Mus musculus: one gene and its partners. The protein of the gene in region 3 interacts with the protein of the main gene of each other region in a pairwise test. Links are inferred from orthologs where the notes say so. Each region holds a gene or a part of one and is shown on either strand. Other genes may lie near its edges.

Region 1 (5,253 bases), on a different chromosome or scaffold from region 3:
GGTTGAGAAGCTCGGCTGCAATTGCCTTTGTCTGCTGAGCCACCTCACCAACCCCATATTATTTTTAAACTAATAAAGATTCTATCCCAAGAGGAAAGGTTATTGAAACTTTATTAATTTTAGTTTGGTAGTTTCCTTTTGCCTGGAAAAAAGGACATTTTCCAGTGGCGGGTTCTGTCTTTGCATATTAGGACCCATGGGGCAATTATCCATGAAGATGAGCAGAAGTCACCTTATAGATCTCTCTGAAATGGAGTAGAGTCAGGCTTACATAATAGTTAAGACAAAAGTGAATCCATTGGCAAGGCCCTCTGGGAGATGCCTACCAACGGAAGCTTCCTTTCAATGCCTCCTCTCACCATCTGATTGGAAAAAGCACAGCAGCCTCAGGCTCTATATGAATACAGCCTGTGATATAGGTCCATGGGATAAATAATACAGTTATGCAGATGCATATGCAATGGGTGAAATGCAGAGTAAAAAAATGGGAAATAGTTACTCCTGTTCTGGGCAAGGGTGCTCCATAGTAGGGCACATTCCCAGCATGCACAGGGTCCTGGATTTGGTGCCCAGCATCACCAAGGGGAAAACATGCTTTCTGTTTACAAAGGAGTCCTTAAGATAGCCAAAATATTTTCATGGCTCCAAAAAAGGAAATATACTAATTCTTTCCCACTAGATTTTCTCCTTGAGGTTCAAAGCTGCAGCCATCTTTCTCTTCCTTAGAATGACCCACTACCCGAAGAACTGACACCAGATTCCATGAACTAGGCCACAGCAGGTTGGAAGCATCTAAGTGAGATGTCTTTTGCACCTTTAGGTGCTGAAAACTCGGTCTCTTTGCCAGATCCTATCAAGACTCCCAGCCTACTGTTCCCAGCTGTGGAGGAGAAGGAAGATTCGTCAAGGCCAGAGGAGCTGTTCTTTGGAGGAGTGTCTACAGGTAGTTTGTGAAGCAAGGCATGTTTTATTCTTGGTGCTGTCGTTCACAGGGTGGCTTCAGTGGAATTAAAGCCAACAGCGTTGACTGTGAAACCATCTACAGGGTGTGTGGCTGCTACAGGCTAGAGCAGCACAGAAATTATCACGTTCTTCAGGGTGTAAAAGTCAGTGGTCCTTAAAGGCGACATTCTTATGAAGACAAACTAAAGATGCAGCTCCTTTAACAATCATTTCTGCTGGTAAGGGAATTTTAAAAGGACATCGCTGTACTTCCTTGATGGCTTTTAAAAATATCAGTGATGCTTTGGGGGATGCCACTTCCCACCAGCCAAATTTAAACTAAGCAAAGAATCTATGGGTATAAGATTACTGTCCTGGGTGGAGGGGCCCCTACACAGACTATAAAACATAGTTTGACAGCAAAAGAAACTTGTGGAGACTTTAGTCTTCATGGGCATTTATATTTTAAATGTATAAAATATATATGAGTACAAAAAAATTATATCTTCTTTCTAAGCTCTCTAATCTCATTCTTTCTAAATGCAGAATAGATTTGGATCAAGTCGTCAAAGCAAACACAAACCAACCCTTTCATCCAGCAGGCAGAATAATTGAATTTGCTTTATTGGTTCCGCAGCCTAGCACCTGACTTATTAATCTTCGAGCTTTCTTGTTGTTTTCAGTTGGGATTTCAAACAACAGATGCCGTTCAGACCGTTTTAAAATAATCTTCTGTTTTCAGTTAGGAACCATAAAAGGCGTTTCATCCAAGTAAGCCTTGAAGAGGCAGGTCAAGTGACCCATCAGATAAAAGGGACATTTAATACTCATGTAAATCATTTGCATTACAAAGAAGACACTTTCGCAGGGGTTGGACACACACACACACACACACACACACACACACACACACATTTCCCCCCGGAGTTGGGATTAAGTTCCCATATTAATGCATGCATTTGGTGTGGTTATTTTGGGAGAAAGACTTCATCCATCAATGCTCCCTGCCACTAAATAGGGCCAACCTGTAACTGATCACCCCAACCTGTCAGCACTGACTACCTAATTACATAAAGAAAAAATACTTAAAAGCCTTTTCAGAACTCGGTTAGTAGCTCAACTTCAGCTTTAACATGTGGCATCTCTTGCAAAGTTCTTCACAATAACGGCAACAAACACTTTTCAAGATTAAAAATGAAAAGTCTAAATATTGTTTTTTATGTTCACCTCTAAGCCTGTGTACGTGTGTCTGTGTGTGTGCAAGTATGCTTTTATTTACAGAGGAGAAATAAAAAAAAAAAAAAGATTCAAAAAGCCCAAGTGAAACGGATTTGATTCAAATATTTGCATTTTTGTATTAGTTCCAAAGAAGCAAAACATCAAAAACTTGGCTTGTCAAAAACTTGGCTCATCAAAAACTTGGCTCAAGACTCAAAGGTATTCCTCTCCTCTGCAGTCTTTAGTAAGGGGTGAAAGATTTATGTCATCCCAAGGGAAACCAGAGTATGAGGTAATAGTTATAAAAGATGTTTCCACTAGAAGTTAATGTATTAATGAGAATGTACATTTTCATTATTTTCATAACCTCTAACACTAATTTAATTCCATTACTAACCAGAAATTTTAAAATACTGATCTTTTTATAGAAAGGAGAAGTTTTTCTTCTAATGAAGACTACTCTTTAATTGTCTTTCGTTTTTATTCTTAGTTATTTTCTTAAAGGCTACATATTTTAAGATTGTATGCCGCAAAACTCAGGAGAGGTGCAACCTACCACTCATATTCAGAAAAAATTTCTTTCCCAGCAAGAAATTTCAAAGCTGGGCTCCCAAAGGACAATCAAAGAAGAATTCTTATTTGTATATTTCAAATGCCTTTCTGTGAAAAAGAAGAAAAACTACAAATAATATCACAGATTCTTATTATTTGAAAACTTGACCAAATTTATAAAGTGCTTGAAAAAACATCCGATGTTCCAAGCACTGCACACTGCAAACACAAGGTGGAAATTTAGAGAAACAAAGTTAAAAAAAAAACAGCTTGAAAATGCAGCCTTCTTACCGTGAGCAGTTAACATCTTTCATGTAAGCATTTTAAGGACCTTTTGAAATTGAATAATACATTTTCCATTTAATCATTGGAATCAATATAACTTTATAAACTTTTTCAGATATTTCTCAGTTAATTATATAGTCTTCTGGTCTTTTCACACCCATTTTTTAAAATCTTTGTACCCCAGTAATTCTACTGTTTTATAGTCTTTTTTTAAAAAACAATCAGACAACTGTTTAAAAATAAATACTAAAATAAATATTAGAGACCATAAGAAGAATATTTATAGGTGTTCTTACCCTCTTTCTTAGTGGGTTCTGGCATGACCACAACAAAAGATTACTCTCCAAAAGGTTTTCTCCTTTCTAGCAGCGGTTGACAGAAACCCCAAGGGCAGCAGAGAGATGGTGTGGGTCAGTGTGACAAGCAGCTGCTTAGAGGTGGACCGGTTTTATACAGGCTCCGACCATCAATCATGTTGGCGCCTCCCTACTTCGGCACAAGGATGCTGAAACCTGACAGCTCTGGGACCTTTCTCACATCTGTTGTCTGCGCTCCGCTCTCCCGCCTGCTGGAAGGACTCTCCTGTCCGTCTCGTGTGGCAGATGCGAGCATCTCTAACTTTCTAAATTCAGCTGTGCCTCGTGCTCTTTCCTGTTCTCTGCCTGTTCCACAGAAGCGTGTGCCGACTCAGCAGTGCACGGAGTTTTCTGGGCGATGAAATAAATAGATGAAAATCATACTACATGAGCCTGGCTTCTCTCTTAATTTTTATTAAAACTTTTTTTAAGGTATATTAAGAAGATCATTTTTATGCCCACATTATTTGTTCATTTTCCTTATTTCTTAGTTAATGAGATTAAAAATTTTTATTGTATTTCTACACCAATGTTAACTAGTCAGTTAAATATTTTGTTTCATTCTCTCTACTAAGAATAGCAAAGCTGTCTATTTTAGGATACATTGCTCTTGCAACATTTTCAAGAGACAGATATTCTTTTTAAAATTACAAGCATATAAACAAGAATGGAACAAACAGATATGCCACAATGTGAATAGAACTTGAGAGAAACCAGCAATAAAATATAGGTTATACAGTCAAGTTATCCAACCATACTTTCATGAAATATCCTGCCTAGGTAAACATATAACATTGGCAAATAACTTAAGTGATTGTCACAGGCTAGGGGAAGTAGAATTAGAACTGAAGGCACATGAATGCAAAGCTTTTCCTGGCAATGATGAAGGTGTTCTGGAATTGGAGTGTGGGAATGGTTTCATAGCTTTGTGAAATACACACACACACACACACACACACACACACACACACACACACACACACACCACTAAACTGTACATGTGCAACATAAGTAAAGAAAGTCAGATAGACCAGACAATGTTTTGATTCACGGTGACAAATGGCTTCCCCAGAACACCATGAGTAAACAGAACAGTGATTATTAAGATGGCAAATGGGCCCAAAAATATAATCCAAGACAGTCACAGAAGGTATCAGACTTGGTCACTTAGCCTGAAACCTAGAGGAACTAATGAGACCACATGTGTTTTTAACAGAATGTCCCGAACCAGCCACATTGTCTCGGTTAATTTCCCCTGTGACTGAGAGCACAGCTGGGCAGACTTAGTTCTACCAAGCACCGTGCCAAGCTAGGTTTTCATATACGGATGGGAACTCTAGCTCTCAATAGCATCATGAGTTAGCTATGCGGGAAGTCAGAGAGGCAGGCTGGACAGCACTTTCAACGAATACCCCCCTGTTAAGAAAGCCTTCTCTTGTTCTACTGAACACGCCATTCGCCTTTCAAACAGACTCTTTGCTCTTAGATGACAATGGGTTAATGTCAACCACAGAACAGTATATTCTGAATATCACGTTAGACCTGGCTTGAAAGAAGGACAAAGAGCCTACCTGTGTCTACCATGGGGATGTCAGTTAATACATTAAAAGAGTTAAAGAATCTAGAATCTAAAGTCAGGGCCTCAGGTTCTATTCACGGACCTGGTGTAAACCAGCCGAGTTGCTGGAAGGACGTCTGGCTGGCAATCTGTACCTCAGTTTCCTCTTGTGCAAAAGAAGGAGTTTTAAAACTAACCTTAGAGGCTGCGATACCGCTGACATTGAGATGTTTGCTATGGTGGAAGGGCCCTAAAAAGGAATCCCTTTCCCAGAATCCCCAGCACTCCCAGCACGCTGAGTGTGTCCTGTGAGATGGACAGAAGCTCTGCAGAATGCTGTGC
Region 2 (5,292 bases), on a different chromosome or scaffold from region 3:
AGGCACAGGCAGGTGGATTTCTGAGTTCCAGCCCAGCCTGGTCTACAAAGTGAGTTCCAGGACAGCCAGGGCTATACAGAGAAACCCTGTCTTGAAAAACCAACAAAACAAAACAAAACAAGGATAAAAGTCTTTAATGATCAATTCTATAATAAGAAGGAAAAAAGGATATCATTCTATCTAAAGACGGAAAACTGTCGGGCAATGGTGGCACATGCCTTTAATGCCAGCACTTGGGAAGCAGAAGCAGGCAAATTTCTGAGTTCGAGGCCAGTCTGGTCTACAAAGTGAGTTCCAGGACAGCCAGGGCTACACAGAGAAACCCTGTCTCAAGAAAAACACAAAAATAAAAAATAAAAAAATAAAAAAAGAGGGGAAAAACTATATACTACATAGCAAACCTCCTCAAAATGTCTACAGATCCATCAAGATTATATATTCATGATGTAATCCATAAGTAACTCTGTGAATGTTTCATCTGACCCCACCCCCCAATAGGGGGTGTGTGTTCATGTAGCCTAGATTGAATCAGCTTCAAAATCACAGTGGTCCTCAGACTCCTGAATGCTGGGATTGCAAATGCAAGTCTCCACACCCAGCCAGACCTCTCTCTTTCTAAAGAGCAAACAGGTCTTCAAATCTGATTTTCCTCCTAAATCATTTGCTCAATCTACTAAGTACTAGAGAGACTGTCATTATCTGATACACAAAACGAATCCTCATGAGGTTAAAAGTGAAGCCGGAGAAGGGGACAGCTGGCATTCACCAATGAGATCCCAAGGGCCAGGACCACCACTTCTTCCATCAGCTCTTGCCAAGTTCCTGATGTTTCGCGCCATGCACCTTGCCTCACACAGGGGACAGTTTGTCAGGAAATCGGGTAAGCCCTTCGCCTTGTGGAGCATGGTAGTTAAAAAGCCCCTAAGTCCACAAAGGTAGAAACTGCGGATAGGGGACAAGGGGCTAAGGAGACGAGAGTGATGGAAGCCTCTAAGGTCAGGCATTGGAACTTAAGATAGGCCGGGCGTGGTGGAAAGAGTAAGAGAGGACTTAGAGGTGCTGAATCATTCTTAATTCTGAGATCCTACTGAAAAGTCTTAGGTCTTCAACCCTAGGTAACCTGTGGGTGGAAGGAAGTAACATACACGTATGTGTGCAGCAAGCACGTGCATGTGGATCGATCCATCTTCAAATTGATAACTGGGAAGCGGGCCAACAAATTAATGGTGTCACCAAGTCATCTTTTAAAAGAGACTGCTTGGATGTTTCAAGATGGCGGTTGATGGCGAGGGGGAGGGGGGATGCAGGCTACGGGATGGCGTGGAAGGAAGAAAAGAAAGGTTCATAACTTACTGTAAACAGATAATAAACCTTGACGTCATATAAAAACCAAAGTTAAAAAAAAAGTCTCCTGACTGCAGATTTTTAGCAATTATATCTTAAAATGACTATATTTCCAAACTGGAGCTATGTTGATGGTGATCGCCAGCAAAGCAAGGTGAGGGGCAGTGAGGTGATGAGTCAGCAGATACAGGTGCCTGCTGTGCAAAGCCAGCAGCATGAGTTCCAGCCCCACAACCCACATAAAGGCGGAGGGAGAAAACTAACCGCACAGAGCTGTCCTCTGACCCCCACGCACGCGTGCCAAGGAACAGTTGCCCTGACCACCACCTGCCCAATGTACCCACAAACTAAGCACTAAGGGCAGGTGTACTCAAAGAAGTTTCCAAAGAGTGTTACACGGAGTATTAAAATGTAAATGAGGCATCCAAAAGATGGAGACTGACTGGATGGCAGAAGTCTCTCAGAAGACCTGCGCATCTGAGGCAGTGAGGACTTTGGACTTTATAAGTGGTGATGAGTTAAACACTGGAGGCAGGAACTGTTAAGAGAGGCCACCCAGCCTACATTATACTAGGCAACATAAAGAGCTCAAAGCCATCAGGTCCCACCTCTGTTAGATTTACCTGGAACTCAGTGTTTTATTCTCACACAAAGATGTTTCCACTTCCTGACCCATTTCTAAAGGTCCTCGCTGCTCTCTATCACCAAATTCTGAAATTGGTTGGTTTTTCCTTTAAGTTGTTTGGTTGTTCAACACGTTTCTGTAAAACTATCTTAAATCCACCCGAGCGAACTCTTGCTCACAAACACGTGCTGGAAAACAGCCAACAGGCAATGTTGCCATCCGGGCGTGGCTATGAAATCATTTGAGAGGCTGAGGCAGGAGGACTGCCACTAGTTGGGCTAGCTAGTGAGTTCCAAACCAGCCCTGGGCTACAGAGTGAGACCCAGTCTTAAAACAAGTAAGCAAATTAATTAATTAACAACCCTAAACAATAACAAAACAAAAGGAACAGAAGTAAAATACAATAATGAGAGCAAGACACAAAGGTAAAGGCTGTGATGGGCAGGGCAGGGTCAAATATTCCAGTCTCAAACTAAGCATCCCTATAAAATGCAGTATATCTAGAGCTTTACAGTGGACTCGACAGAAAGAGTGCAAGGAACGCTTACTTAAGCCTTTTCCTACATCCGTGCAGAACTTCTAACTCCAATGTTTGTTTATCCAACTGAGTCCACAGGCAGTAAACTGTGAGAAAGGGAGACAGGACTCCAGGAGCTTTGCCTATCCCTCCATTCGTGCTTCTGCTCCGGTTCTCTCTGTCTGGAAGAGAGCTACATGCATGGCTCTCTGCATTAGCTAGGCGGTGTCCCAGGCGCTGCCGCAGGACTCTGGGTACCAGACCTGGTGGCCCGGGTGGAAGCTGGTATCAAGGCCAACACTGGGCGGGGAACCTAGAACCTAGGTTTGCCCTGCTTCAAAGCAGGTCCCGACTTCCCCACTCTGGGACCTGGGATCTAGGGGTGTGTAAAGTGGCTTAAGAAGCCTGGCCGTGGTCAATTCTTACGGATGCCCCACCGGCCATCCCCCAGGCTGCCAGCCCACCGGAAGAGAGAAGAAAGACTAGAGAACGGCGGTCAGGGCAGATATGATGGTTGCAGAAGGGCTGGCTAGGTCGCCGCCCTTAGAGACCCTCCACAAAGATGCCAGCCCCGCCCCGGTGCAAAAGACCCCAGAGACTGCACAGGGCTGCGCTCGAGTTTGCAGATGGGCTGTACCGGCGGGAAGTTGTGGCAGGCGGAAACCGCCGGGACGCCCCATCTCCATCCCGCCCCACCCGGGCAGGTGGCTGCAGCTTACCTTGGTGGCGGGGTCCGCGTCAGCGGGATCTCCAGCTGCTCCCGACGCTTCCGCTGCGGGCCCATGGCCACTGAGCTCCAGCTCGCTCGGCGTGTCGCTCTCCGCCGGCTGCTCGGGGCTCCGCTGCTCGGTGGAACTGCCTGCACCCATGGCTCAGTGGCTTTCCTACTCTCGCCGGCTAGCCGTCTTCCTGGGACCGCGGAGAAGCAGAGGGGCGAGGAGATGTGCGCCCAGGACCACAGGGACTAAGGGGTGAGGAGCACCCGCTCTCCACGATCCTGCTGAGAACACACCCGGACTGAGAATGAAGGGGACGCGCTCGTGGCAAACTCCTTAAAAGAAAAAAAAAAAAAAAAAGCCACCTCGTAGCCTCCTCCCCCCTCCTTGTTTTTCCCTCCCTTCATCACATGAGCACAGCCCAGACACGCCTTGCAGCATCTCCCCCTAGGCTGCTAGGACCAGAGGCTCCGACACCAGGCCCCCAGCAGCCCACCCCGCCCCCAGGGCTTCTCGGGTCATTAAAGGGGGACGAGGGGTTTGGGGTCTGTCCCAGGGCTGCAGAAGGTTCAGGAGCAGCAAAGAAGGGGGCGGGGGCAAAAGCTTTGTTTTTTTAATGTAATGATTGATAACCCAAGGTTGGATCTTCTGCAGACTAAGGATTTACATTTGACCAGGCGGGAACCCAAATCCCCATTTGCTTTTCTTCAGGTTGGGTTTGACTTTAAGCATTTGTTTCTAGCTTTCTCTCCTTCAGCCGGAGAAAGGAAGCCCTCCTGGGCTGCTCCTGAGCCTGGCCATATTAGGGCGGCTCACGTGGCAGGAGCTGGGAAACCCAGAGGTTGATGCAGTCAGGCCACCGCTGAGGTGGGCCCAGCGTCCCCATGATCCCAGCCAGTGATGTCAGCTGATGCCATCAACAGAACTCGCCGCCCTCTTTCCCCGGGGAACGCGCGGGGAAATGAAGCTGTTACTGGAAATGTGCCTGTCCTTTGAGCGTCTGATGCTGAAGGTTACACATCCAGGCCATTCGTCTCTCTCCCGACGCTTAAACACCACATTGGCTTAGGTCTGCTTAGTCGCCATCGGCATTATCAAAACACGAAGATTTCTCTCGTACTAGCAAAGAAAGGGCCTGTCTGTTTTCTTCCTCCACTTGATTAAATACTCATTGTATTAACATGGCAGCCAATAAGTCTTAAATTGAAATTTTGTTAGATTACCCGTCACTAAGCATTAAAATGCTAGGGGGAAAAGATGAAATGATGTCAGGTGAGCCCGGTGCCATGATTCGTGTCTGAAATCCTGATGCTTCAGTGGCTGAAGTTGGAGGGTTAGCTTGAGCCTGAGGCCTGCATGGGGTAGGTAGTGAGTGAGTTTCAGCCAAGTCTGAGAGCCACAAAGCGAGGCTCTGTGGATGAGTGAAGGAATTAGTGATTTAAAATCAGTAAGAGCATTGAATCTAGATGCCAGATAAATATCTTGTCCCTAGATTTGATACAGGTTACTTGAGTATCAATGAAAACATTAATTTAGCTAATAACACTTGGTCCTTATTCATGGTCATTTAAGTGTTTATTGGGAACAACTCGGTTTTTCAGGATAAAATTTGGTTTCTCCACTTATTTCGGAAGGCCAGTTTCTTTGGGGTTCATTCATTTAGAAACAGACTTTCAAGTTGCTTTTAGTTATTTGTAAGTGTGTCACCTATCTCAATTTGTCTTGTTTGTTGAGAAAGAATTTCTCACAATCTAGTTCAGGCTAGCCATAAGTGTTGTAGCCAAGTCTCTGGAGGGAAGACAGTATAGACTTGTGAGACTGAGACCACACCCTACTTCAATTTAATTTTTGAATATTTAGAGAACATTAGCATCTCCCCTCCCCCACCCCTTACAGTGCTGAGGGGTGGGGGATGGAACCCAAGGCCTTGTGCACTCTGAGACAAACACTCTAGCTTTGAACCATGTCTCTGGCCCAAACTTGAAAGTTCTCATTTTGTATCAGGTACTATTCAAAAAACAAAACAAAGAACAAAAAAACATTGCGTATATCATCGTATGTAATCCTTATAACAACCCAATGGCATACAG
Region 3 (5,341 bases):
CTGTAAATGTTTGTTGGAGAAAGGAATGGTCATATATTTTGCTTAATTACGCACTGTCCTGGCAGAGGGGTGGAAGCAGAGAGGGGGGCAGAGGCAGAGAGACAAGGGGGGGCAGGGAGAAACCTTTTTTTTTCCTGCTCTGTTCAACAGGAGCTAAAAGAAAAAAAAATCTCTTAAGAAAAAATAATTACAATATTCTCCCTTTTATCCCAAATCCAAACAACTGGATAGTTCAGTTAACAAAAAAAAAAAAAAAAAAAAAAAAAGGGCAGACAAAAGTTAAGGAAAGCAGCCAACGAGATAACGACTAAAGTTCAAGCAAGCAGGAACATTTGTTCAACTCCCACAAGGTTATAAAAGCCAATGTTTCTGGCACTAGGGGGTGGGAGTCAAAGGAGGGGTGAGGGAAGAGGAGAACCAGGAGGAAGAGATTAGGAAAACAGGGCAAAGCCTCAGGAGATTAGCTGCCGTGCCTTCAACAAATTATTTGTTTTTAATGGCTAAACTTGGGCTAGGGACATAGCCCTATGATAAAGGCGCCTGCTCCACACAGGAGGCCCTGGGTTCCATCTCCAAGACTACAGCAAATGAATAAATAATTCTTCAAACCGAAGGTGCGAGGGTGGTGAGTTTCTCACGCAAAAGTTCAATTGACAAGTTACTTTTAAAAAAAAGATAACAGAGTGAACTCTCTAAGATTTAAAACAATTACTTCATTGTCCTGTTCGTTTCTGAAAGTTCTTCATCTTTTTTTCCTCCCATCTTACAACAGGTTCTCAAAAAGCCAAGTAAAAGACTCCCTTTGCTCCTTTTGTTTAGAGAGCAACTTAAGGCCCATTTTCCCACCAACATACTGTTCCTTTTCACCACCTTCAGCATTATTCCTCAGACAAAAAACACCAGGCTAAACTTAGATTGTGAAAATCGGTTCTGTCTCACTGTTGCACTGGGGCAGAATACACACCACAGAAATGTAGAATAGTATACAACAGCATAAGCAAATACATTTTTCTTAATCCTGTAGACCCACTTATGTATTAACATTTGCAATAAACAAAGTCAGTATCTTATTGAGGTGATCCATTAATTTACTATATATTAAATCATCTCCAAAGAACTCATATAAGAGGTATTTTACCAATCTGCACATTCAAAATTTCATCCCCCAATCTAGACTTGCTTTAAAAATGTTTTCCTTCTCCAAAAAGATTAAATCATGGAATGGAAGCCTAGAATTTCAGAAGCCATATATGGTTACAGATTCTATACGGTAGTAGTAAAATGTGCACTTACTCTGTAGTGCATTGTACAAACCTTGGCCTATCTAACAAATTCCCTGTTGCATAAAGATTCTATTTGCCCTTAAAAATGGTAAATAAATGTTTTAAAAGAGTGAAGGTAGACTAGATTGGAACCTTATGTAACGGAAACAGGGAAGCATTATATTCCTAGCACATTTAAGGCCCATTGCTTTTTAATGCATATTCTTAAGAAAATATGGGCACGCATTTCCAAAGACAAAATTACCAACCCCAATCCTTTTCAAATGTGAGGAATGGGGAGTAGCCTGTTCCTGGGGATGGGCAAGGATGAGAACTCCTTATCCAATTCCACGTGGCCCATAATTTAAACTTGTGCTACTCTGTAAACATTCTCATTTCCAAGGAACATTATATTTATATTTAAACGGCCTTAATCAAGATAACAAAAATATTCCCAGTATTCTCTAAACTCGCAATACATTTGATAACATGGAGAATTACAAGCAATTACAAAATGATAGCTCCAATTAGGAAAACTGGATCTAGTCCAAATTCAAATCAAAAGAGGCTCAGATAGTCCCGATGGCATCATTTAAATGAAGAGAACAGAGGACTTCCAGCAAAGACATGTGTTCCACTCTTGCTGCATTTCTACGACAGAACTCTTGCCCTTCAGGAAATCCCAAAACCAAATCTGAAATCACATTCATACACTTTCTTGTCTCCTGTTCCCAATGTGCTACCCTAGTTGTGTGTGTGTGTGTGTTTGTGTGTGTGTGTGTATGGCGGGGGGGGGGGGGGAGGTGTCGTTGTAATCAGAATGAACCCAAGAAACTTGAAAGGCCCAAATGCAGAAAATACACAGCACATTCACTGTTTCCCTTGGCCTTTCTCATTCAAACCTCTACCAGTTGTGGAAGACTAAGCAATGGGAACTTGAGAAGCAGAAACCTCTTCCCAGGAGCCCAGAACTGCATCTAGTGGGAATTTTAAGCTTTCTGAAATTGAAAGGTCACACCCAGCAGTCTACCTAACCCACTTTGCCAAGGCTCAACCAAGGCTCAACCTAAGTGCTAGAACCTTCCACTTGCCTCCATGCTGAAGCTGAAATCCAGTCCCCTCTCCCACCCCCATCCCCCATATCACTGCCATTCCCCCTCAGAGAGCAGAACCACGACCAGCCTTCTCCCTCCATCACCATTCTCCTTGCACTCCAGTCCTCCCACTGCCTCCTCCCCAGCATCCCCAAAGGGAGCACAGCAGTTCCCTCAACATCTCCAAGAACCAAGGCAGGTTTCACCTTCCTCCCCTGCCCAACAGGCGCCATCCTTAATGTAAAAACCAATGAAGCCCCCCCCCCATCGTCATCATCATCCCCTGCTCTTCTCAACTGCTGTTAGCTATCCTTTAAAAAGAAAAAGAAAAAAAAAAAACCAAAAACAAAAACCAAAGGTGTTCCCACCTCGCCCAACCCCCACTGCCCGCCATCCTGGGTGAGAAAACCAAAAGCCCCCTCTTTTTACTCCCACCCTCCATCCTTGCAGAGGAAACACCCAAAGCCGCCCCCCTGCATCCCGGCCCCCAGGGGAGCGAAAGCCCTGGGGAGGAGGCTTAGGCACGCACCCTAAGGGACCTTGGAGCCCCAGGTTCCTCAGCCCCCAACGTGGGCGAGGCAGCGGAGGCCGGAGGCCGCAGGTACCCAAGCCCAGCAGGTCCGCGCAGCCCCGGAGTAGCGGCCACGGAGCACGAGCTGCGGCTCCCCGGGGACGCCGGAGGCGTGCGCACACACACACACACACACACGCACACGCACACACACACACACACACACACACACACACGCACACACACGCGCGCGCACACACACACACACACACACACACTCGCGGAGGGAAAGCGGGCTTACTGTCTGGGGATGCTCACCCGCGCAGCTGTCTAGGCGGCACCGGCGGCCGCTGCCAGCTCCGAGACCAAAGCGCAGCGGCGACAGCGGCAGCACAGGACTGAGCCCCCTCGGCCGGGCGGTGGATGTAGGGCGCGGGAGGGGCGCACGGGGAGGGGCGCAAGAGGGTGGGAGGGAGGGAGGAGGGAGCACGCGCGGGGGCGGGGGCGGGGGCGGGAGCGGGGGCGGGCGCAGCCCACTCGGGGCGGGGAGGGGTAGGGCGGAGCGCGCGTCCGCCTGGGCTCTGCCCGTGGTGCGAGGGGCTGCGGTGCGGGCAGATCGCGCTCGCGCGCGGGAGCCCAGTCGGGCAAGCGCGGGAAGGGGGCGCGGCTGCGTGGGCCCCGCCTCGGGAGAGGCCAAGCCGCTGGCTAGGCGCGCACAGTGCGCGCGAGAGGTGGCCGCGAGCCCGCGGTGGCGCGGCTTCCCGGAGCACCCCCTGCAAGCGTCCGAAGGGCACGCGGAGGGCGGGCCAGGGGCGCCCACCGCCCCCCTCCCTCGCGGGCTCAGGCCTTCGCTGGCTGCTGGGGAGTCACGAGTCACTGCAGGCAGCCACGGCCAGAGCCCGGGAGGTGGGAGCAACAAAGAGAGACAGCCAAGGTGGCCTCTAGCCTCTCCAGGGGCCTCGCTGACCTGCACAGCCCAGTACAGCCAGTGATTGCAGATCTCTTGGTTCCCACCACACTGAAAGACCCACCGACGACCTCTCCCCTTAATAACAAGCTGGACAGAACGAAAAGAGCCTTTATTCAGAGGGCTTTCCATCATTCCTAAAGCTCTCACAGCAGAGCTTCACATAGTGACTGACTCCGTCGTTCTTTCCCTAGTTCAGTTCAGTGAGCCCTCAGCATGTGCCCAGTACTGTGCCAAATGCTGTAGATACAGCACAGTTGTGCACACACTCGGCTTTATTGGTGGAAGAAGACAGATTATGAGCAAGTGAGAAAATAAACACAGTGGGATAAACTGCAGGATAAAAGGGTGTATAAATAATGCGAGAAAGAAGGTAGTATTTAATCTAAGCCTTGCATGGTATAAAAGCAGTGGGTGTAAAGAACCAAGGGATAACTTTCCAAACAGAAGGAGCAGAGGCAAGGAAGCCAGGAGAATCCCACCATGTCAGTGGAGGGAAGTAGAAGGACTTGGTTAGAAGAGGGTTGAAGGAATTGCAGGTGAACTAGAGAAACCTGCTTTTTTTTTTTTCCTTTTAAAGAGGACCCGAAAAGGACCAGAAGGAAGGAGTAGGGTCGAGGAAAACTTTGAAAGGTGAGAATAGTCAGTACTTAGAATGTCTAGTGAGTCAGGAGAGAGGTTCATTAAAGGAATCCAAAGTCTTGATTTAAAAACATGAAGGCCAGCTAGGAGAGGGGAGAATCAGCCCTTTATGTGGAAGCAGATGAGGCGGAGCAGCTGTGTATTTAAACCAAGCAAAAGGTCTAAACACTGCTGTTAGCTCGTCCCCCCGTCCCCCCCCCTCCAGCTTCAAAATTCAAGTGATGGCCTCTTTTACCCGACCCAATAGCTACTTGCAAAATTCCTTTCTCTATCTTGCTACCCAGAGCCTACGCCTCTTTTCTCTTTCTGAGCCCTTAGGCTCACTGAGGTCTGGTATTTCTGGATTTGCAAAAAAAGTCTCCCCACACATTTCTTAGGAAAGGAGACTGATCCGCCCCAGGCCATCATGGGAAGGCCTGGAACAATTAGCACCACTTCAAGCAGCTCCCCTGCATACCAGCCCTGGGCTCAACCAGAAAGAAACAGCCAAGAGCACTCAGTGCAAAAGCTCTGGGTGGCTCTGGACAGAGAGCCAGTTACTGGAGATTCTCAGATCAAAGCCTGGGCTCTGGCAGGCCTAACAAGGTCGGCTCCACCACCTGTTTCTGCTCTGCCAATTCAAGTCCCAAGTGATAGTAAAAAGTGGAGAAAGGAAGACAATTTATTCTATGGAGCCACATTGAGAAGAACAAATGAAGGTCTAGTGACTCCCAAATCCATGTAACATGAGGATTAGGATTGAATAGAGAGCCAGAAGTATGTGTAGCTGAGCAGTGTTGGCCAAGTTGGGTATGATCTGGAAACTGACGCGCCACTAGACTCCAGTCTGTCCCACAAGGAAGTCCTGATTGTAGTAGTCAATACT

Evidence for each region. The genes of interacting proteins can lie anywhere in the genome.
Region 1: the proteins of Fhl1 (region 3) and Mybpc1 interact in a two-hybrid assay, tested with the Homo sapiens proteins (2 studies listed by BioGRID and IntAct). The link is inferred for Mus musculus from reciprocal best matches to the Homo sapiens genes FHL1 and MYBPC1.
Region 2: the proteins of Fhl1 (region 3) and Akap12 interact in binary tests that used the Homo sapiens proteins (3 or more experiments, as listed by UniProt). The link is inferred for Mus musculus from reciprocal best matches to the Homo sapiens genes FHL1 and AKAP12.

Annotation. Positions count from the first base shown.
Region 1 is NC_000076.6:88,601,608-88,606,860, forward strand, and holds the start of Mybpc1 (myosin-binding protein C, slow-type), read right to left. Parts: upstream 3,546-5,253; 5' UTR 3,319-3,545; coding exon 3,294-3,318; intron 1-3,293. UniProt on the Homo sapiens protein: Thick filament-associated protein located in the crossbridge region of vertebrate striated muscle a bands. Slow skeletal protein that binds to both myosin and actin.
Region 2 is NC_000076.6:4,264,582-4,269,873, reverse strand, and holds the start of Akap12 (A-kinase anchor protein 12), read right to left. Parts: upstream 3,546-5,292; 5' UTR 3,356-3,545; coding exon 3,206-3,355; intron 1-3,205. UniProt on the Homo sapiens protein: Anchoring protein that mediates the subcellular compartmentation of protein kinase A (PKA) and protein kinase C (PKC).
Region 3 is NC_000086.7:56,729,713-56,735,053, reverse strand, and holds the start of Fhl1 (four and a half LIM domains protein 1), read right to left. Parts: upstream 3,294-5,341; 5' UTR 3,186-3,293; exon of another isoform or gene 2,886-3,185; intron 1-2,885.